Macaca fascicularis: one gene and its partners. The protein of the gene in region 3 purifies or fractionates together with the protein of the main gene of each other region. This does not show direct contact. Links are inferred from orthologs where the notes say so. Each region holds a gene or a part of one and is shown on either strand. Other genes may lie near its edges. The genes, in order: UPF1, UPF2 and CASC3.

What was found.
Region 1: the proteins of CASC3 (region 3) and UPF1 purify together in Homo sapiens (co-immunoprecipitation; 5 studies listed by BioGRID and IntAct, with this or other methods). This does not show direct contact. The link is inferred for Macaca fascicularis from reciprocal best matches to the Homo sapiens genes CASC3 and UPF1.
Region 2: the proteins of CASC3 (region 3) and UPF2 fractionate together in Homo sapiens (co-fractionation; 3 studies listed by BioGRID and IntAct). This does not show direct contact. The link is inferred for Macaca fascicularis from reciprocal best matches to the Homo sapiens genes CASC3 and UPF2.

Annotation. Positions count from the first base shown.
Region 1 is NC_088393.1:19,267,575-19,273,974, forward strand, and holds the end of UPF1 (regulator of nonsense transcripts 1), read left to right. Parts: intron 1-8; coding exon 9-151; intron 152-1,439; coding exon 1,440-1,614; intron 1,615-2,154; coding exon 2,155-2,236; intron 2,237-3,250; coding exon 3,251-3,412; intron 3,413-3,522; coding exon 3,523-3,740; intron 3,741-4,026; coding exon 4,027-4,146; 3' UTR 4,147-4,149; intron 4,150-4,545; 3' UTR 4,546-6,264; downstream 6,265-6,400. UniProt on the Homo sapiens protein: RNA-dependent helicase required for nonsense-mediated decay (NMD) of aberrant mRNAs containing premature stop codons and modulates the expression level of normal mRNAs.
Region 2 is NC_088383.1:12,951,938-12,958,983, reverse strand, and holds the start of UPF2 (regulator of nonsense transcripts 2), read left to right. Parts: upstream 1-2,223; 5' UTR 2,224-2,569; intron 2,570-2,641; exon of another isoform or gene 2,642-2,728; intron 2,729-7,046. UniProt on the Homo sapiens protein: Involved in nonsense-mediated decay (NMD) of mRNAs containing premature stop codons by associating with the nuclear exon junction complex (EJC).
Region 3 is NC_088390.1:61,215,712-61,222,699, forward strand, and holds the start of CASC3 (protein CASC3), read left to right. Parts: upstream 1-3,225; 5' UTR 3,226-3,250; coding exon 3,251-3,481; intron 3,482-3,923; coding exon 3,924-3,951; intron 3,952-4,279; coding exon 4,280-4,317; intron 4,318-6,988. UniProt on the Homo sapiens protein: Required for pre-mRNA splicing as component of the spliceosome. Core component of the splicing-dependent multiprotein exon junction complex (EJC) deposited at splice junctions on mRNAs.

The DNA of each region.
Region 1 (6,400 bases), on a different chromosome or scaffold from region 3:
CCTTTCAGGAGGTGGAGATCGCCAGTGTGGACGCCTTTCAGGGACGCGAGAAGGACTTCATCATCCTGTCCTGTGTGCGGGCCAACGAGCACCAAGGCATTGGGTTTTTAAATGACCCCAGGCGTCTGAACGTGGCCCTGACCAGAGCAAGGTAGGGAGGCTGCCTGCTGTGTGCTGCCCAGCCGCTCTCATCAGTCCTCACTTCCCAGGGAATTTGGGGCTAGGGTTGGGGGTTGCCAGGGCCAGAGGTCAGAGGGCTCTAAGCAGCAGTTGAGAAACAATGTCTCACTGGAGAGATCTTTGTTTCCGTGTCCTGGGGGTTTGCTGTGGCCCCTGTGCCTCAGCCCAGCAGGACGTATCTTTCCAGGCCCTTCTGGTCTGATTCAGATAAATCTGGTGTGTGTCTGTCAAGTTGTTTAATCTGAGAGCCTGTAAATTTTGGTTCTGTCCACTACTTTTGGTTCTAAAATACAACTTTTGTGAATTGATGATAGCAGAAGGGATCCATTCTGTCATCCCACATACAACTAGACATCAGGCCGGGTGCAGTGTCTCATGCCTGCAATCCCAGCATTTTGGGAGGCCGAGTCGGGTGGATCACCTGAGGTCAGGAGTTCTCAACCAGCCTAACCATGGTGAAACCTGTCTGTACTAAATACAAAAAAATTAGCCAGGCGTGGTGGTGCATGCCTGTAATCTGAGCTACTTGGGAGGCTGAAACAGGAGAATCGCTTATACCTGGGAGGCGGAGATTGTGGTGAGCCGAGATCGTGCCATTGTACGCCAGCCTGGGCAACAAGAGCAAAACTCAGACTCCAAAGAAAGTAAGAAAGAAAAAAAAAAAACTAGACAGCAAGGACTCATTCACCAGCTGGAAGTCCGGGGGGCCTGGCCCGTGGCTCCACCCAGCATAGGGAGAGAACCTGGCGCTCCTTCCAGCTCACATACGCAGTAGTCCTCCTGTAGGTCACCATGGCTTTGTCATTGGTTACTTCCTCTTTCTAAGGCGCGCTCTTGTTTGGTGGGTGGTATTGGGTGGGTCCCCCCACAGCTGCGTGAGGTGGGCTAGAGGAGCTGGGCATCGGGTCAGTGCCCCAGCCTGCCAGGGACCCTGTGGGGCCACCTGTGCCCTGGTGCCTGGAAGGCTGACTCTCTTGACAGCAGGTCTTGTCTTCAAACGTATCCACCTAGCCAGGTGTCTGCCATGGGGCTGCTTAGAGTTGGCCACAAAATCAACCCGTGTGCAGGGTCAGTAGCTTGGCATTGGGCTCTGGGGCCTGTCCCTGTGGCTGGCAGCCTGCCTGCTGCCTTGGCTCGCCTGGTCCACGCCTCTCTTGCCTTGGATTTGGGTTGTGAGTGAATGCAGCCTTGCCTCTTGGACCATCCTGTGAGACGGGCCGCTCTCCACCTGCGTCCTCAGCACTGTGCCCTTGTTGCAGGTACGGCGTCATCATCGTGGGCAACCCGAAGGCGCTGTCGAAGCAGCCACTCTGGAACCACCTGCTGAACTACTACAAGGAGCAGAAGGTGCTGGTGGAAGGGCCGCTTAACAACCTGCGCGAGAGCCTCATGCAGTTCAGCAAGCCGCGCAAGCTGGTCAACACCATCAACCCGGTGAGCGTCTGCGCAGGACAGCAGGGCAGCAAGGAGAAACCCGGGCCTGAAACACTGCTGGGAATGTGCCAGCTTGGCCCATGTGCCTGTGAGCTGAGGGAGGGCTCTCCTAGGGGAGGATGGGCCAGCCCACTTCCTGTCTCCCAAGCCGTGTGTGGCATTTTTGGCTCAGGGCCCCTGAGTCCTGGGTGGCCTCTGGGAATTGGGCTCAGGGCTGCTGTGCCGCATGCAGCAGCCTGGGGCCTGGGACCTGGGACGCCGGGAGTTGGAAGCTTTTCAAGCCCGGGGTTCCCTGGTGGTGAGGGAATATGAAGCTTCCTGAGCTGAGGCCCAAGGGTCAGCATCAGCCCAGGTCTGCCAAGGAGGGCAGGCGAGACCCAGAGGCCGTGAGACACAGCTCTCTCCTGTCTCCAGGGAGAGCCCCTGGCACAGTGTCAACACCCCACAGCTGCATACCTGCTGCCTCCCAGGCCACCGGCCCATGGGAAGTTGTTCCTTCTGTTGAGATGACAAATTCCTCACCTATCTAAACCTTCGCAGGGAGCCCGCTTCATGACCACAGCCATGTATGATGCCAGGGAGGCCATCATCCCAGGCTCCGTCTATGATCGGAGCAGCCAGGGTGAGTTGCTCGGCAGGAGACCGGCCGGCCCCTTGTCCTTACACCAGGATGTTGGCTGTTCCCATGGCTGAAGCTTTAGGTGCCCCACCTTTCCTTCCCCTCAAGGGCGGGGCCTGGCTCCCTTGTCCTCCCCGCCCCCAGGGCATCTCTAGCCCCACAGCACCCCTGGGGCGTTTGTCTTTAGCCAGAGTTTATTTGTGTTTCCTGGTGATCAATCTAGTTAGCTTTTTCTTGCCTTTTGGTAGGGCAGGGACTGCATGTAGTACAAATAGAACATTTTCATAAAAAGGATTTTTTTTTCCTTTGGTAAATTCAGGGTGATTTTCATTTATTTTTTATGTTTAGAGACAGGGTCTCGCTATGTTGTCCAGGCTGGTCTCAAACTCCTGCCTCAAGCATTCCTCCCGCTCAGCCTCCCAAAGTGCTGGGATTACAGGCGAGAGTCACTGCACGTGGCCAATTTGCATGGGGGGTTTTTTTTGTTTGTTTGGTTTGGTTTTTTTTGAGACAGTCTTGCTTTGTCGCCCAAGCTGGAGTACAGTGGTGCGATCTTGGCTCACTGCAACCTCTGCCTCCCGGATTCAAGCGATTCTCCTGCCTTGGCCTCCCAAGTAGCTGGGATTACAAGCACCCACCACCACGCCCAGCTAATTTTTGTGTTTTTAGCCATGTTGGCCTGGCTGGTCTCAAACTCCTGATCTCAGGTGGTCCACCCACCTCGGCTTCCCAAAGTGCTGGGATTACAGGCTTGAGCCAACATGCCCGGCCCTGATTTTCAGATCTGTGTAGGCCAGTGATTCCCAGCAGGCTCTTCTGGGGGAAGGTGCCTGCCCTAGCACCCAGCCCCAGGCTGGCTGCTGTAGTCAACATGGAGTCCGGCGAATCTGCATCTTCAGCCTGGGCAGAGCCAGGACAGATGTGCAGCTCCGACTGACTGGCTGGTGGGGTGGGTGGGGCATCACCGGGGTTTGACCGAGGCAGATGACACCTGCTGTGTTCCACTGTGATTTGCAGGCCGGCCCTCCAGCATGTACTTCCAGACCCATGACCAGATTGGCATGATCAGTGCCGGCCCCAGCCACGTGGCTGCCATGAACATTCCCATCCCCTTCAACCTGGTCATGCCGCCCATGCCACCGCCTGGCTATTTTGGACAAGCCAACGGGCCTGCTGCAGGTAAGCATCCATGGCTGTGGCCGGGTGTGGCCCTCCTGAGAGCTCTCGAGGGTGTGCTTGTTTGCGAGGCCCTGGCCTCCTTGGGATCACCCTGGACTGCTGTCTTTCAGGCCGAGGCACCCCGAAAGGCAAGACTGGCCGTGGGGGACGCCAGAAGAACCGCTTTGGGCTTCCTGGGCCCAGCCAGACCAACCTCCCCAACAGCCAAGCCAGCCAGGATGTGGCGTCACAGCCCTTCTCTCAGGGCGCCCTGACGCAGGGCTACATCTCCATGAGCCAGCCCTCCCAGATGAGCCAGCCCGGCCTCTCCCAGCCGGAGCTGTCCCAGGTGAGCCCGCCCCACGCACAGAGCCCTCTTGCAGCCCTGGGACAGGACTTGCTTGAGTGAGAGTGGGGCTGTGCACCTGGAACATGCCCTCTGAAGAGCCCGAGAGCTGGCCTGGCCCATGTCCACTGTCCAAATTACCTGTCCCTGGGCTAGGGTCATCAGAGTGGATCTCCTGGGTCTTAATTTGGGGACGGATTTTCCATTCTCCTCTCTGGGCTTCTGAGGGCTGGGTGGATGTGAGCACCCTTGGCCTGTGGCTTGCTTACCTCCTGACATTGTCTTTCAGGACAGTTACCTTGGTGATGAGTTTAAATCACAAATCGACGTGGCGCTCTCGCAGGACTCCACGTACCAGGGAGAGAGGGCGTACCAGCATGGCGGGGTGACGGGGCTGTCCCAGTACTAAAAGGCAAGGCCCCCCGGAGCAGGCCTGGCCCCATCCCAGCCTCCAGGGAGCTGCTGGGGAGGGGTGGTATCTGGAAATGCATGCTGTCCCCAGTGGGGTCACAGGCCCGCAGGGCCAGCTTGGCCTGTGCCCTTCACCACCAGTCAGGGTGGCTCCATGTGTTGCCCAGTCACAGCCCCACTTTCCCCTTGAAAGAATTCTAGGGCTCCTCACGGAAAGGGATGTGGAGGCACCCCACCCTACCCCATCCTGGCGGGTAGCCCTCTGCTCGCGGGACCTGTTTCCTCATCAGAGTGGGGGAGAGCAGCTCGAGCTCTCCCTCGCTGTCCCGTGCGCTGGGTACCTGTGGGCCTCTGTGCGCCGCCTCTCACCGCCTCCTGCCCTTCTCCCTCCTGACAGGTGGCGGCGGAAGAGCTAAGCAACGTGGCTTAGTCCATCAGCATCTTATTCTGGGTAATAAAAAATAAAAATAAACGGATACCTGTTTTCCACTGCTAAAACTGAAGCACCACTGTGTGAGCGACAGGAAGGGAGAGCGCACGAGGGAGAGGAGCCGAGGCCGAGCGCCCCCTGCTGGCCCGCGGCGGCGAGGAGCAGAGGGAGCGGAGGAGGGGCCGGCCCGCGGGAGCCGCCGCCACCAGGAGGCCCCGCTCCGTCCCACCGGGGCTGCGGCCAGGGCGGAGGGAGGAAGACCCTCATCTCAGAGTAGCCCTTTCCTCTGTCTTTTATTTCTTTTTCTCTTTGATTGAAAGGGGACTACGTCTTAGCAGGAAAAAACTTCGCATTTCTGTGCCCGAGCAGGCTCCTTGCAAAGACGGCGGCGCGCAGGGCAGAGCCCCGGGAGGGCGCATCTGTCCACGCCTACCAGACGCGCCGAGGTCGCGCTGCCTGTGTTCTCCGAGGGCCTTCATTTAAAGAAAATAAGGGTGTTTGGGGTTTTTCTGTTTGTTTTTTCAAGATTCTTTTAAAGGAGTACTGAAGAATACTTTCCTAAGTTTGTCTCTAAAATCTTAGCGGTGGACCTGGGAGATGTGAGAAGCTTCCAGAAACAGTTTGAACAAGCCAGCGCCACTGGAGAAGAGGAGCAACACCTGTGCCGCGGCCTGGAGGAGGATTTTTGTTGCTGGTTTTAGCTTCCGGTGGCTTCTTGCTGCGGGGCATCGGGCCTCTGGGGTAGCCGCCCACCGAGCCTGGAAGCTGCTCGTTCTCCACTGGACTCAGAAGCCAAGCCGCTTCCCGCCCGGACTCGGCGCAGGGCCCTGCACCTGTGAGGAAGGTGCTTTTGGCCCCATTGCGAGGGGCCTTGGCTAGGACTGGCCCTGTGGCCAGGGGGCGAGAAGGTGGCTGTTCCCGGATCAACGGCTTTTTCCCGGGGGCCTTTGGAAGATTTGGTGGAAGGACAAGAGGGCCTGTCCCTGTCCCCAGGAGGCACCGACAGTCCCTGTACTGGTTAGACACACGGAGCGCTGCACACCGAAAGTCCAAATTGGGAGCTCTGCCTGCCAGCAGTTTTGCTGAGGGGGTGATCGCTGCTTCTGGGGGGTAAGGAAACAAGTTACAGGAATTACTGCGTTCTGTGTGAAGGGGCTGGGGGGTGTGGTGTCGTTGGCAGAGGGTCATTTTAGTTAGGAGAGCTGCCTCAGCCCCTCGAACCCCTGGCTTGGGGTGTCATTCCGCCTGGCGGCCAGGCCTCCAGCCTGCCCTGGCCCGGGCCTGGGGCTGTCACTTGCCCTGAGCTGAACACTTCCAGATTCCAGCTTCTACATGGGACAGACGGGGACGCACAGGCCACCTTCCTTCTGGCAGGGACTCTTATTTATTCCCATTGCTCTAGGGCTTTCGGTTTCCCCTTCTTCCGGTAGGCCGCGTAGAGGCATGCACCACGCACCGGGTAGGCTTCTGCGGTGACCCCGCGGCGGCCTAAGGGACGCTGCCTGCCCCATCCCGGCTGTTGGGTTGGGCCGCTTTGCCTCTGCTTCGCCCTGTGCTGTGTTCTCCAGCTTTGTAGCAGCGGCCTTGACAAACCCAGGCGCACCGTACCAAGGCAATGTAACTTTTGATTTTCGGTCAATTTAAGTTCTTTTGTCACCAATAAAATATTAAACAGTTTTGCCTTCACACCAAGGATTGGATAAACTGCAGGGGGCGGAGGGTGTTGGGGGCGGGGGTTCCCTGGCCGAGTGAGGGGTTGGGGTGTGAAGGACGCCAGAGGGAAACAGGCAAAGCCCAGAAAGGGCAGGTCTGCCTTGCAGGA
Region 2 (7,046 bases), on a different chromosome or scaffold from region 3:
TGGTTGGCCTCATATGATGCCTTTTTCTTTTCCTTAAAGTCAGGATTTGTCCTTCTCTGTAATTGTAATCTCTTTGTCTGGCCTTTGCTTTTGTCTGTGAAGCTGCCACCAGCTAGGTTTTAAGTAGCGAGTAGCATCGTGTAGGTCTAAATAAAAACTAAATAGCTTCATTCTCTTTTTTCCCCATATAGAACAGTTCTGTCAATTGCAGCAGACAAAAAGAACAATGAACATTTTTGAGACTTTTCTCAAAAATTCATCTTGAGAATGTATTTTCAGAAAATCATAAAGTTTGAATTATCAGAATAAAAAATGATGGCCTCTTCACAGTGGGGTGTTTTTTTCTAGTTAAGACATTACAATGATATTCTCACATCAGGCTTTTGGTGGCTGGCTTGACATCTGTCTTTGGATGTAAAATGATTGGCAGCATTTTCAGTTTACGTAAAAGTTTGCGTAGAGCCACAGCAGAAAGAACTTGGGTTTTTGGAGTTAGATTTGAGTAGAATACTAGGTAGTATTTAATTAAAATTAGTAAGTATGAAACTTACTAATTTTGTGACAGTAAATTAATCTGACTCAACTTTTATAAAATGGTGACTGCAATTAAAATCACAAATGTAAAATAGCAAATGCTCAACAAAAAGGCCCTCCTCTTTTAGGTGATTTTAGGTGATTTCCTTTTAACACCTGATTAAAGGCAAAGGTTGACTTGATTTACGATGAGAAGGATTTAGTATATTTATTGAGAAGGATTTATTATATTTATTAACAAAGAGGTAAAGCTTTTTTCTTTTTTTTTTTTTTTTTTTGAGACAGAGTCTCGCTTGCTCTGTTGCCCAGGCCGGAGTGCAGTGGCGCTATCTGGGCTCACTGCAACTTCTGCTTCCCGGGTTCTAATGGATTCTCCTGCCTCAGCTTCCCGAGTAGCTGGGATTACAGGCGCTCGCCACCACGTCAGGCTAATTTTCTATTTTTAGTAGAGACGGGGTTTCACCATGTTGGGGCCAGGCTGGTCTGGAACTCCTGACCTCAGGTGATCCACCAGCCTCGGCCTCCCAAAGTGCTGAGAATACGGGCATGAGGCACCATGTCTGGCCAGAGGTAAAGCTTCTTAAGGTAATCCGACAAAATGAGAAAAAGAGACCTTGAAGAGAAGTGTGGGTGGCTATCACCAACATGGTATTTGGGGGCAGTTCTCATCATTGTTTATCAAGGCTGCAGAATAGCTGTATTCACCTTTCTCTTTTACTACCCTTTAAATGATTGACCTATGTGTAGTGTGTATTTTTTTAAAATACAGGAAGCAGCAACACTCAGTATGAGAGGATAATTTGCGTGCTAAGAGTAAATGGGGAAGCAAACAGTAAATAGAGACAAACGGGCAAAGGTTGAGTCATAGGGAACCTGGACTTGCCTCAAGTATTTGTGGTTGGTAGTAGCTCATTATGTGTGCCTAGACACCAGGTGGGGCCCCCGCAGGCCAAGCAAACGTCAAGACCAGTTTCGCACCCTTGTTCCTCTAGCTCCGGACCAGCCAGAGCCACCTACTCGGATCATGTTCGCAGAACCCAGCACTGTTTCGAGGCCAGATGCACCATTTCAGAAATTCAGTGGGAAATAAGCAGTGTGGATAAACTGATACCCCATTTTTAAAAGTCGGCCTGGGTTCGCATTCAGAAGAAATGTCGACGCTAGCCATTTTTTTTATAAATGGGTGATTTGATAACTCAGGGAGGTCTTTCCACTGTAATAAAAATTTGCTTGTTAGAACTGGGTGTTTTCTAAGAAGTGTATGGAAAAAGCCTTGATTCGTCTTCGCCCTGGGTGGTTTTTACGTCGAACACCTACAACTGCTACAGAAATCCCCCCGCGGGACTTTTGATGTCTTCTAGGGCATTCTTAAAACTAGACCCATTCCTAAGCGACTCCCACCTCCCAAACCAGCCATATGCTTTAGTTTCTCCAGTTTCCAATTTTCTAAATCTTCAACGTCTCCCCTCGAATTAGTCCAATCAAACTTTCTCTTCTTAGACCTCTTCCTTACGTTCGCACCAGGAAACTCCCAGGAGAATCACGTGCCCAGGCTTGTCCTTAATGGCGCTCCGTAACCCTCCCACTATTCCACCACCCTTCCTCGCCTCCCGTGAGCTCCGCCCCGCCCCATTCGCGCTTCCCACCCCCATCCCCCGCGAAGTGCTTGCGCCTGCGCAGCTCCAATTCAGGCGCTTTCCCTTTCCTGGCGACCAATCCACTTCCTGCCTCGGGTCCTCGGAACACTCCACCTCTCCGCTGGGGCCCTGGCTTGAGGTGCTGGTAGTGGCTACCTTACGCATTACCTGTCTGAAAAATTCGCTCTTCTCATCGACTGGGGAATTTGGAAGAGCCATTAAGTGGGTGGCACTTATATGAGCCTTTGCCTCGGACCCGCCACCCCAGAGTCAAGCTGAGGGCATCGGCATGCCGCGGGGAGGGCGATCAGGACTGTTTTTAATCGGGCAGTCGCGCGGACGGCCTTTTCCCTCTCGCCTCCTTCCGCCCCGCCCCCACTCTCAGCCCGGCCGCGCTGGTGAGTGGCGGGCGGGAGGGCCGGCGGGCGGAGGGAGGAGGGGGAGCTAAGGGAAGGCGGGCCCTCGGCTGCGAGATAGGTGGGGGGAGGGGAGGGGAGAGCCCGAGCGCTGGAGTTGGTGCTGGGAAACCCGGGGCTAATGTTGACAACAGGCTCGAGGTGAGTCCCGGGGATCCTCCTTCCCCTCCGCTCCAACGATCGGGAAGAAACGGGGCTGGGGGGCACCGGCCTAGAGTCCTACTCCCTGGGGGACCCCAGAGGCGACTCCGCACTCTAGCTCTCCGGGGTCGGCGAGCAGTGGAGGGACCGCGGGTCCGGCGTCGTTCTTCTCAGACCCCCTCTCTCCGAGGCTCCCATCAACGCGGGAGCCCCCGGGCCGGGCCGGGCATGGGGGGCGGTGGAGGAGGTGCCTGCCCCACATGCCTGGGCCGGGCCTCGGGGCTGGAGGCGGGGAGCCCGCGGTGGAGGGGCGAAGGTGTTCGGGGGCGTGGAGGAGAGCGAGGGGAGGTCGGGGGAAGCTCCTCGAGAGCCGGGAGGGAAGCGAGGGCGAGGAAGTGGGGAGGGCGCGTGTGTGGGAGGCTGCGGAGTGGGGAGACCGGCCGGGGAGGCTTCTGTGGCGAGGGAGTGTGGGGCGAGAAGTTGGGGTTGGGGCAGCGATGGTCTGCGAAGGTGACCGTGGATACCTGTGGGAAGGGGAGTTGTGGCGGGGAAGTGGTGTGGTGGGTGTAGACGTTGCCACACCACCAGAGCAGGGGTTTGTAGGAGAGGTGTGTGTAGGCGAAGGGGCTTGGGGTGTATCTGGGGATGGTGGGCATGGGCTGTTTGGTTGACTTCCTTTTAATCACATAGGCTGGTTATTCTTCACTTTGCCTTCACCCCTTCAAGACTCCAGGCACTCTCTTCTTGCTAGGACTGTTGGACTAAGGAAGTGACCACAGGATATTTGGTCCCCAGGTTGGCAGAGCAGAGCCAGCTGGGTCCACTCTGGGGTGATCGGACCTTCAGTTGCCTTGCTCTTCTTGGAGGACTTACACGACACGAAGTGATGCATCAGATCAAAGTGAAACGCTCGCTGACGCTTTATCTCATTTCCATAGTTCTTAGGTGTTCCTTAACATCGTCAGTCTCCTCATTTGTGAGCTGGGACAATTTCTAACAATTCTTAACTAAACGTCCTTTATACTAAGGATGTTCTTTAAAAAATAAAGTCAGAAACTGAGAGAGAGTGTTCCTGTGCTGTTCTGTCCTTACAACATTTTGACTAAGAATTGAAAGGTGAAACAGCATTCTCTCACTCTGGAGTATTTTCGGAGCACTCTGATTGGGATTTCATACATAACCCATATGGTACTTTGCAAGGGAATATCTTTAAAAAGGAAACACCCCCTTTTGTGCCCTCTTCCCCCCAGTACACTCCACTGGTACTTTTACTAGTAAATTAGTTTTACTTTCTTTTGGGAGTTCAGAATATATTTAGAATACCAAATAAAATATACAGTTCAAGTGACAGGACACTATTTTGGGAGCTAGGAAGGTGGTTTTAAAGCATGGTTTCCTTTTAAGGGTAGTCTGAATATAAATTGTATTCAGCAAACTAATTTGTAACAGCTAATCGGATTCCAGCGAAAAGATCACGATTTTTTCTTGTTACTATCTTGAGAAAGGACCTTTTTAAAATTGTAGTTTGGACTAGAAAAACTTTTGGAAACACTTTAGATGACAAGTTTGGCTGTTAAAGCTTGAAGTTATTGAAATAAGAATTTTAGTATTTTATTAAATATCACTTAGTGCTCAGTTTCTTTTCTTTTTTTTTTTTTTTTGAGACGGAGTCTAGCTCTGTTGCCCAGGCTGGAGTGCAGTGGCCAGATCTCAGCTCACTGCAAGCTCCGCCTCCCGGCTTTACGCCATTCTCCTGGCTCAGCCTCCCGAGTAGCTGGGACTACAGGCGCCTGCCACCTCACCCCGCTAGTTTTTTGTATTTTTTAGTAGAGACGGGGTTTCACCGTGTTAACCAGGATGGTCTCGATCTCCTGACCTTGTGATCCGCCCGTCTCGGCCTCCCAAAGTGCTGGGATTACAGGCTTGAGCCACCGCGCCCGGCCAGTGCTCAGTTTCTTAAGTGGACATAAAACAAACGTGTTTTGAGGTGAATCATGGTGTTTGTATATTTTATTCGTTTTAGTGTAGGTAGTGAAAAAGAGTACTGGGTAGTGAGTGTTGATCCAGCCATGGAAACTATCTGTGTAATCTTGGGTAGGTGACTCTGCTGCTGTCCTTGGAATGTAAAAATTGAGGATAGAAGTAGATAAAATCTAATAGTCTTTATTTGACTTTACAAATCTCTCATTGTATGCTGAACTTCTCAGTGTTCTTTGTGAGCGAACATTTATTAATGCCTCCCTCGTGCTAGTTACTATGCTAGAATTTTAAGAACTTTACAAGATAGATAGCAGTATATCCTTCTTATTGATAAATACGTGGACTCAGAGAAGTTGTTGCCTGATTTCTGTAGCTATCAGGCTGCAGAGTTGGGAGGCAGATTTAAAATCTATCGACTTCCAAGCCCATGTATGTTGTTTTCACAAGTTGCATTGCTGCCTCTTCGTGAACTTTTAGATTTTTGTCTTATTTTTTTGTTTACGGAAATTTAGTTCCAAGTATACTTTGGGTGTATGCTTGTAATGTGAGGATGAAGTGATTGAAAGAAGATACCAGTATCAGGACTTATGGGTTATGGAGAATCTGTTTTATTATGCTCTAGGGTAGAGTCTATTCCTATTTTTTTTTTTCTTGAGACAGAGTCTCGCTCTGTCGCCAGGCTGGAGTGCAGTGGTGCCATCTCGGCTCACTGCAACCTCCACCTCCTGGGTTCAAGTGATTCTCCTGCCTCAGCCTCCTGAGTCGCTGGGACTACAGGCGTGTGCCACCACACCCAGTTAATTTTGGTATTTTTAGTAGAGACGGGCTCTCACCATGTTGTTGGCCAAGATGGTCTCCATCTCTTGACCTCGTGATCTGCCTGCCTCAGCCTCCCAAAGTGCTGGGATTACAGGCATGAGCCACTATGCCTGGCCCCGAGTCTAATTCTTGAACGCCTACTGTAGCTTTATTTTATATAGTAAATACTTAAAATTTAATTAACAAATGAATCTTATTAAAGAGTCATAAAAGTTTGGGACTTTGTTGAACTAATAAATGATGACCTTTGTGAATTTGTCAAATACTAGATGAATTTCTTAATCTTTTCTTTGAAGAATTTAAGATTTTATCTTTAGAAATGAGACATGAGGCCAGCCATGGTGACTCATGCTTATAATCCCAGAACTTTGGGACGCCAAGGTGGGTGGATCACCTGAGGTCAGGAGTTTATGAGACCAGCCTGACCAACATGGAGAAACCCCTTCTCTACTAAAAATACAAAATTAGCCGGGCATGGTGATGCGCACCTGTAATCCCAGCTACTCGGGAGGCTGAGGCAGGAGAATGGCTTGAACCTGGGTGGCAGATGTTGCGGTGAGCCGAGATCGCGCCACTACACTCCAGCCTGGCAACAGAGTGAGACTCCATCTCAAAAAAAAAAAAAAAAAGAGAGACATGAATTGTAAGTTCTGATGTCATTCTTTGTAGTTTCCTATGGTCCTGAAATGTTACTTGTTGATGTATCACATCAGAAAATGTGAAATCTATATAAACTTTTTTTCACTTAATGATTAATATCCCTCAATAAGATCATGTTATTACCTTAGATATTAAGTTGTCCCCGTATGTTTCAGCCAGAGTCTGCTAAAAGTTAAAAACATTGTGTAAGAACTGCTTAACCACTATGAAGGATTCTTTCTACTCTTGAGATTCATAATTCTATGGTTTGCCATAGTCAGTATTTACAAACAAATCTTCCATCTCGCAATTTGGTACTCTTAGGATTCTTTGGTTCAGAGAATGGGTTCAGATTCCCATTCTGTCACCAGCTGTGCAGGCCTTGGTCAAGTTACTTGGTCAAGTCTCAGTTTACTCATTTATAAAATAGCGAAAATAATACCTACCTCATAAAGATTTTAGTATTAAATGAGATAATGTATGTAAAATGTTTAGTATGGTACCATGAGTAGTAAGTATTAGTATTATAGTCTCTTTGAAAGTTTGCTTGGTTTAAGGGCGTGATATTTTCTTTTCTTTTTTTTTTTTTTTTTTTTTTGAGACAGAGTCTCACTCTGTCGCCCGGGCTGGAGTGCAGTGGCCGAATCTCAGCTCACTGCAAGCTCCGCCTCCCGGGTTTACGCCGTTCTCCTGCCTCAGCCTCCTGTGTAGCTGGGACTACAGGTGCCTGCCACCTCGCCCGGCTAATTTTTTGTATTTTTTAGTAGAGACGGGGTTTCACCGTGTTAGCCAGGATGGTCTTGATCTCCTGACCTCATGATCTGCCCGTCTCGGCCTCCCAAAGCGCTGGGATTACAGGCTTGAGCCACCGCGCCCGGCA
Region 3 (6,988 bases):
CTTGGGAGGCTGAGGCATGAGAATCGCTTGAACCCAGGAGGGGCAGAGGTTGTGGTGAACCGAGATCATGCCATTGCACTCCAGCCTGGGTGACAGAGGGAGACTCCAACTCAAAAAAAGAAAAGTATAATTAGCAACTTCAGAAACGAGATTATAGGATACTTGGTCCCTGGTGTCTAAGTTAACAAAATCTTACAGTTGGAAAGACCTTAGAGGTCATCTAGTGTGACCCCGATACATGATTTACCCTTGATAACATTCCAGAGGAGCAAATTCCAGCTTCTGCTTCAACAATTTGTTTTTTACATTACATTTTTCCCCCTAAGTGTTTGAAAATTCTTGCTTGTTGACAAAAATCTAACTTCTTGTAACTTAAACCCATTGGTTTTTGCTTTGCCTTCTAGGATAATGAAAAAAAGATCAATCCCTCCTTTTCTTCATAGTCCCTAAAGATTGCTGTGGCTCGAGGCCGGGCAAGGTGGCTCACGCCTGTAATCCCAGCACTTTGTGAGGCCGAGGTGGGCGGATCACGAGGTCAGGAGATCGAGACCATCCTGGCTAACACGGTGAAACCCCGTCTCTACTAAAAATACAAAAAAATTAGCCGGGCGTGGTGGGTGGGCGCTGGTAGTCCCAGCTACTCAGGAGGCTGAGGCAGGAGAATGGCATGAACCCCGGGGGGTGGAGCTTGCAGTGAGCGGAGGTCGCGCCAAAGCACTTCAAGCCTGGGTGACAGAGCGAGACTCTGTCTGGAAAAAAAAAAAAAACAAACAGGCCGGGCGTGGTGGCTCAAGCCTCTAATCCCAGCACTTTGGGAGGCCAAGACGAGCGGATCACGAGGTCAGGAGATCGAGATCATCCTGGCTAACACGGTGAAACCCCGTCTCTACTAAAAAATACAAAAACCTAGCCGGGCGAAGTGGCGGGTGCCTGTAGTCCCAGCGACTCGGGAGGCTGAGGCAGGAGAATGGCGTAAACCCGGGAGGCAGAGCTTGCAGTGAGCTGAGATCTGGTCACTGCACTCCAGCTTGGGCGACAGAGCAAGACTGTCTCAAAAAAAAAAAAAAAAAAAAAATTAAATTGGACCCAGACCAAACAACTGAAGGACAAAGTGGCAGACTATCACTTTCCTTATTTAGACACTAAACTTGGCAGCCTTATTTGCACCAGTTTAGCTTATGATCGATAAGATCCTCCAGGTCTTTTACTTTAACACTTATTAAATCATATATCCTCCATTTTGAACTCAGGCAGTTGGCTTTTGGAGCTGGACTTACAAGTCGTCACGTTTGGCCACTTGTCTAATTAGCTGAGATTGTTTGAATTTTTTTTCTGAGACGGAGTCTCGCTGTTACCCAGGCTGGAGTGCAGTGGCTCCACCTCGGCTCACTGCAAGCTCCGCCTCACGGGTTCACGCCACTCTGCCTCAGCCTCCCAAGTACCTGGGACTACAGGCGCCCGCCACCTTGCCCGGCTAGCTTTTTGTATTTTTTAGTAGAGACGGGGTTTCACCGTGTTAGCCAGGATGGTCTCGATCTCCTGACCTCGTGATCCGCCCGCCTTGGCCTCCCGAAGTGCTGGGATTACAGGTATGAGCCACCGTAACCGGCCTTGAATTTTCATTTAATCTCTGAAGGCATTCATAATTACTTCCAGTTTCATGTTGTCTATAAATTTGATAAACATCAGGATCCTTAACCATGTTATTTATAAAAATTCTACTCAGGAAAGGCTGCACGTGTTGGCTCACTCCTGTAATCCCAGCACTTTGGGAGGCTGAGGCGGGCGGATCATGAGGTCAGGAGATTGACACCATCCTGGCTAACACGGTGAAACCCCGTCTCTACTAAAAATACAAAAAATTAGCCGGGCGTGGTGGCGGGCGCCTGTAGTCCCAGCTACTCGGGAGGCTGAGGCAGAATGGCGTGAACCCGGGAGGCGGAGCTTGCAGTGAGGCGAGATGGCGCCACTGCACTCCAGCCTGGGCGACAGAGACTCCGTCTCAAAAAAAAAAAACTTTTTTTTTTTTTTACTCAGGAAAGAATCCTATGCCATAGTGGCCTTTGTTTGATACATACATTATTAGCGTGCACTCCTGTAGGTACACTAAAAACTTAGCTCATGCACTTTGTATATCCTTATAATGGTACAAAGAAAATACATTGATTCTTTTCATTGGTGACAAACGCCTTGCCAAAATCAAAGAATTTCCATGAACCTTAAGAAGGAAATAATGTCAGGATTTTGAATCAACATCCGTTTCTACTGACCATTTATTTTTAAATAGGTTTTAAAATCCTCACAAGGGCAGTAGCTCATGCCTGTAATCCCAGCACTTTGGGAGGCTGAGACGAGAGGATCGCTTGAGCCCAGCCAGGAGACAAGCCTGAGCAATAGCGAGACCCCCATCTCTACAAAAAATAGAAAAATTAGCCGGGTGTGGTAGTGTGTGACGGTTGTCCCAGCTACGAAGGAGGCTGAGGCAGGGAGGTCACCTGTGCCCGGGAGGTCAAGCTGCAGTGAGCCGTGATCGTGCCACTGCACTCCAGCCTGCGCAAGAGACCCTGCCTCAAAACCAAACCAAATCAAACCGATAACACTGGCATCATACCAGCCTGCACTTTGGGACAGGTGATGGCTGGGGTGGGAAGAAACGTGAAGAGGAAATGAGAACACAGAGAAAACGCTGCAACAAGAAGTCCTCTGGCTTCACTGCAGACAATTGGTTTCTCCTTCGCTCGTTATCTTAAAAACCGGGCTGGTGTAGCAAATCTGACGCAGCACTACGGCTTTTAAGATTTACCTTGATTCGTGATATTACCAAGCAAAGGAATGCAGTAAATTGACCTGCTTCAAACGTAGGTAGAACTGAGAAACGGAAACAGAAAACCATGAAACAACCCCAGTGTTGCAGTAAAGCTGTGACAGGTCGATGCCTTCCACTCGGGAAGCCCAAGATGGCCGGGCCAGGAACCCGGGAAGCAGCTGAATTCTCAATTCCCCTCGCCCTAGGCCTGCCTAAGAGAAGTCAGAAGCCGCGCCACGCCCCCTTACATCACCGATAGACGTAATCCGGTTCCGCCGCAAACCTGCCGCAGGCCAAGGCCCCGCCCCGTGTCCCGCCCACCCCAAGCGGGATGGCTGAGCGCCGCACGCGCAGCACGCCGGGACTAGCTAGCGAGCCTCCCAGCAGCCTCTGGGACGGGCGCGGTGCGTAAGTAGCTCGCCGGCGGTGGCCGTTCTCCGTAAAATGGCGGACCGGCGGCGGCAGCGCGCTTCGCAAGACACCGAGGACGAGGAATCTGGTGCTTCGGGCTCAGACAGCGGCGGCTCCCCGTTGCGGGGCGGCGGGAGCTGCAGCGGTAGCGCTGGAGGCGGCGGCAGCGGCTCTCTGCCTTCACAGCGCGGAGGCCGAATCGGGGCCCTTCATTTGCGGCGGGTGGAGAGCGGGGGCGCCAAGAGCGCTGAGGAGTCGGAGTGTGTGAGTGCGCGCAGGCGAGGCGGGGCGGGGTGGGGTGGGGACCGGGCGGCGAGCCGGCCGGCCGGGGGCGGGGTGTAGGTGATGCTAGGTGTCTGGGAGTTGATAGTAGATACTGGGACTTTTTTTGTTGTTTTTACGAGAAAAGGGGAGTTATCCCAGTGCGAGTTTGCATCCGGAGTTCTAAGGGAAGAAGGATTGGGGGTTTCTGGGAGGATGGCAGAGCCGCTGGGGATGGAAAGCGGATGTTTATTCAGAAATCGGGTCTGGAGGGAAGGAGACCAGATCTGCCTTGGCTACTAAAGACCAGGCCTGCCTTGGCTACTACTTGTCTCTCTCTCCGACCATTTTGTGCTCATTCTTCAGCTCTTCACCCACATTTCTTTATTGGGCTCTCCACCTCTGGAAATCACAGAACTAACCCATGTCTTCTACTTTCCTTCAGGAGAGTGAAGATGGCATTGAAGGTGATGGTGAGTAGCATCTTTTACCCCATTAGGACAAGAGTTTTTTTTAACATAAACTCAGAAAATCTATTTCCAACTGTCGACATTCTCACACACGGATTTAGGGCCACAGAGTGGCTTTTTGTAGTATAGTGCTTAAGAGCATAGGTTTTAGCAGTGTAGTCTTGTGCAAGTTACTCTGAGTCTGTTTTTCCTTCTGTAAGTGGAGACTATAATTTTATCCACGTTGTAGGTTGATGTCAGAATTAAATGAGACTCTTAGTCTGACCTATAATAAGCAGCCAAAAAATGTTTCTGGGTTTCTGTTTTTCCACATATTTCTGTTTTATTTCAGCTGTTCTCTCGGATTATGAAAGTGCAGAAGACTCAGAAGTGAGTATGACAGGTTTTTTCCTATGGTACAGATCAGAAATGCTTTTAGAAAGTGTACACACCTTCGTTGCAAACGTACCATGACCTCCGTGTTTATCCTCTTGTGTATTCTTCATTTATGCTTCTGAGAAAGTGTTACAGAATGTCTTGTTCTCTTTAGACCTAGGGAAAACTTGGGGCATGCCGTCTCAAGCCACAGGTGTTATACTTTTAGTTGACTTCTCTTCCTGTCTGAAGAATATGAGATTCTAAATAAGAGAATGAGTACATCTTGAAGTCCTCTGAAAGATGTTTGACAGTTTGTTTTATGCAGTGGAGGTTAAGAAGCCAGCCAGTTGGATATTTTTTTCGTGGATTTTTTTTTCCAAATCTATCTGAAGACTTTGAAAGGGTAGGATTCTGAATGTTTTGTGCCAAGAGCATCCATCATTTTATAGGTGGGGATTTCTCTGTTTCTAGGAGAGTTTCCTGTCTTTTGGATAAACTACTAGAGATGCCATCAGAATAAATGTTTGTTTTCTGGGTTGTTGAGTGGAGTCCTGAGTTCTGCTAATGGGATTATATACAGGGGGAATTGGATAGTGGATCAAAGATTTTGTCTATAAATTTTTAGAACCGTTACTACATTTTAGAATCTGTTAAGCCCTTGAAGATGGAACAGTGAACACTATAACAAAATTCCTATCTTTAGAGATCTTACAACTTAATAAGGAAGTCAGACAAACATTCAAGCAATTGTACCACTTGCTGATAGAGGATAGCGCTGGGATAGGGCTAAGTAGGGTGTTATAGCTGGGCACTGAATCCATCCTAGTCAGTCAGGAAAGATTAAGAGTTGACTGGGTAGAATGTGTTCTAGGCAGAGGGAACAACAGTCAAGAAAGCCCATAGGGGCTGGGAGCAGTGGCTCATGCCTGTAATCCCAGCACTTTGGAAGACTGAGGCAGGCGGATCACTTGAGACCAGGAGTTTGAGACCAGCCTGGCCAACATGGTGAAAACCCATCTCTACTAAAAAATAACAAAAATTAGCTGGGTATGGTGATGTATGCCTGTAATTCCAGCTACTTGGGAGGCTGAGACACGAAAATTGTTTGATCCCAGGAGATGGAGGTGGCAGTGAGCTGAAATCATGCCACTGCACTCCTATGTGGGTGACGGAGTGAGACTGTCTTAAAAAGTAAATACATAAAAAAAAAAAGAGGCCAGGCACTGTGGCTCACGCCTGTGATCCCAGCACTTTGGGAGGCCGAGACGGGCGTATCACAAGGTGAGGAGGTGGAGACCATCCTGGCTAACACGGTGAAACCCTGTCTCTACTAAAAATACAAAAAATTAGCCAAGCATGGTGGCGGGCGCCTTGTAGTCCCACCTACTCTGGAGGCTGAGGCAAGAGAATGGTGTGAACCCGGAAGGCGGAGCTTGCAGTGAGCTGAGATCGCACCACTGCACTCCAGCCTGGGTGACAGAGCGAGACTCCGTCTGGAAAAAAAAAAAAAACCCATAGGGGTACAAAAAAGTAATAATACTTAGGATGAATAAGATCTAAACCCAGCGCAATGGCTCACACCTGTAATCCCAGCACTGTGGGAGGCCAAGGTGGGCCAGTCACTTGAGGCCAGGAGGTCAAGACCAGCCTGGCCAACTTGGCAAAACTCCATCTCTACTAAAAATACAAAAATTAGCAGGTCGTGGTCACGCATGCCCGTAATTCCAACTACTCAAGTGGCTGAGGCAGGAGAATCCCTTGAGCCTGGGAAGTGGAGGTGGCAGGGAGCCATAATCAACACCACTGTAATCCAGCCCGGGCAACAGAGCAAGACTCTGTCTCAAAAAAATTTAAAAAATAAGAATGACTAAGATCTAGAATTTCATATTTGCAACATGGTGACTACAGTCAACAGTAACTTATTGTATATTTAAAAATAACTATTGGCTGGGCGTGGTGGCTCAAGCCTGTAATCCCAGCACTTTGGGAGGCCAAGGTGGGTGGATCACGAAGTCAAGAGATCGAGACCACCCTGGCCAACATGGTGAAATCCTGTCTCTACCAAAAATACAAAAATTAGCCGGGGTGTGGTGGCGCGCGCCTATGGTCCCAGCTACTCAGGAGGCTGAGGCAGGAGAATTGCTTGAATCTGGGAGGCAGAGGTTGCAGTGAGCCGAGATCACGCCACTGTGCTCCAGGCTGGTGACAGGGCAAGACTCCATCTCAAAAAAAAAAATAAGTGTCAATAAAAGAATGTAATTGAATTGTTTGTAACAAAGGATAAGTGCTTGAAGTGATCCGTACCCCATTTACCCTTAACATGATTATTACACATTGTATAGCTATATAAAAATATCTCATGGGCCGGGCGCAGTGGCTCACACCTGTAATCCCAGCACTTTGGGAGGCCGAGTCGGGTGGATCAGCTGCGGTCAGGAGTTCAAGACCAGCCTGGCCAACGTGGCAAAACCCTGTCTCTACTGAAAAGAAAAATTAGCGCCGGTTGCGGTGGCTCAAGCCTGTAATCCCAGCACTTTGGGAGGCCGAGGCAGGCGGATCACAAGGTCAGGAGATCGAGACCATCCTGGCTAACACCGTGAAACCCCGTCTCTACTAAAAAAATACAAAAAACTAGTCGGGCGTGGTGGCGGGCGCCTGTAGTCCCAGCTACTTGGGAGGCTGA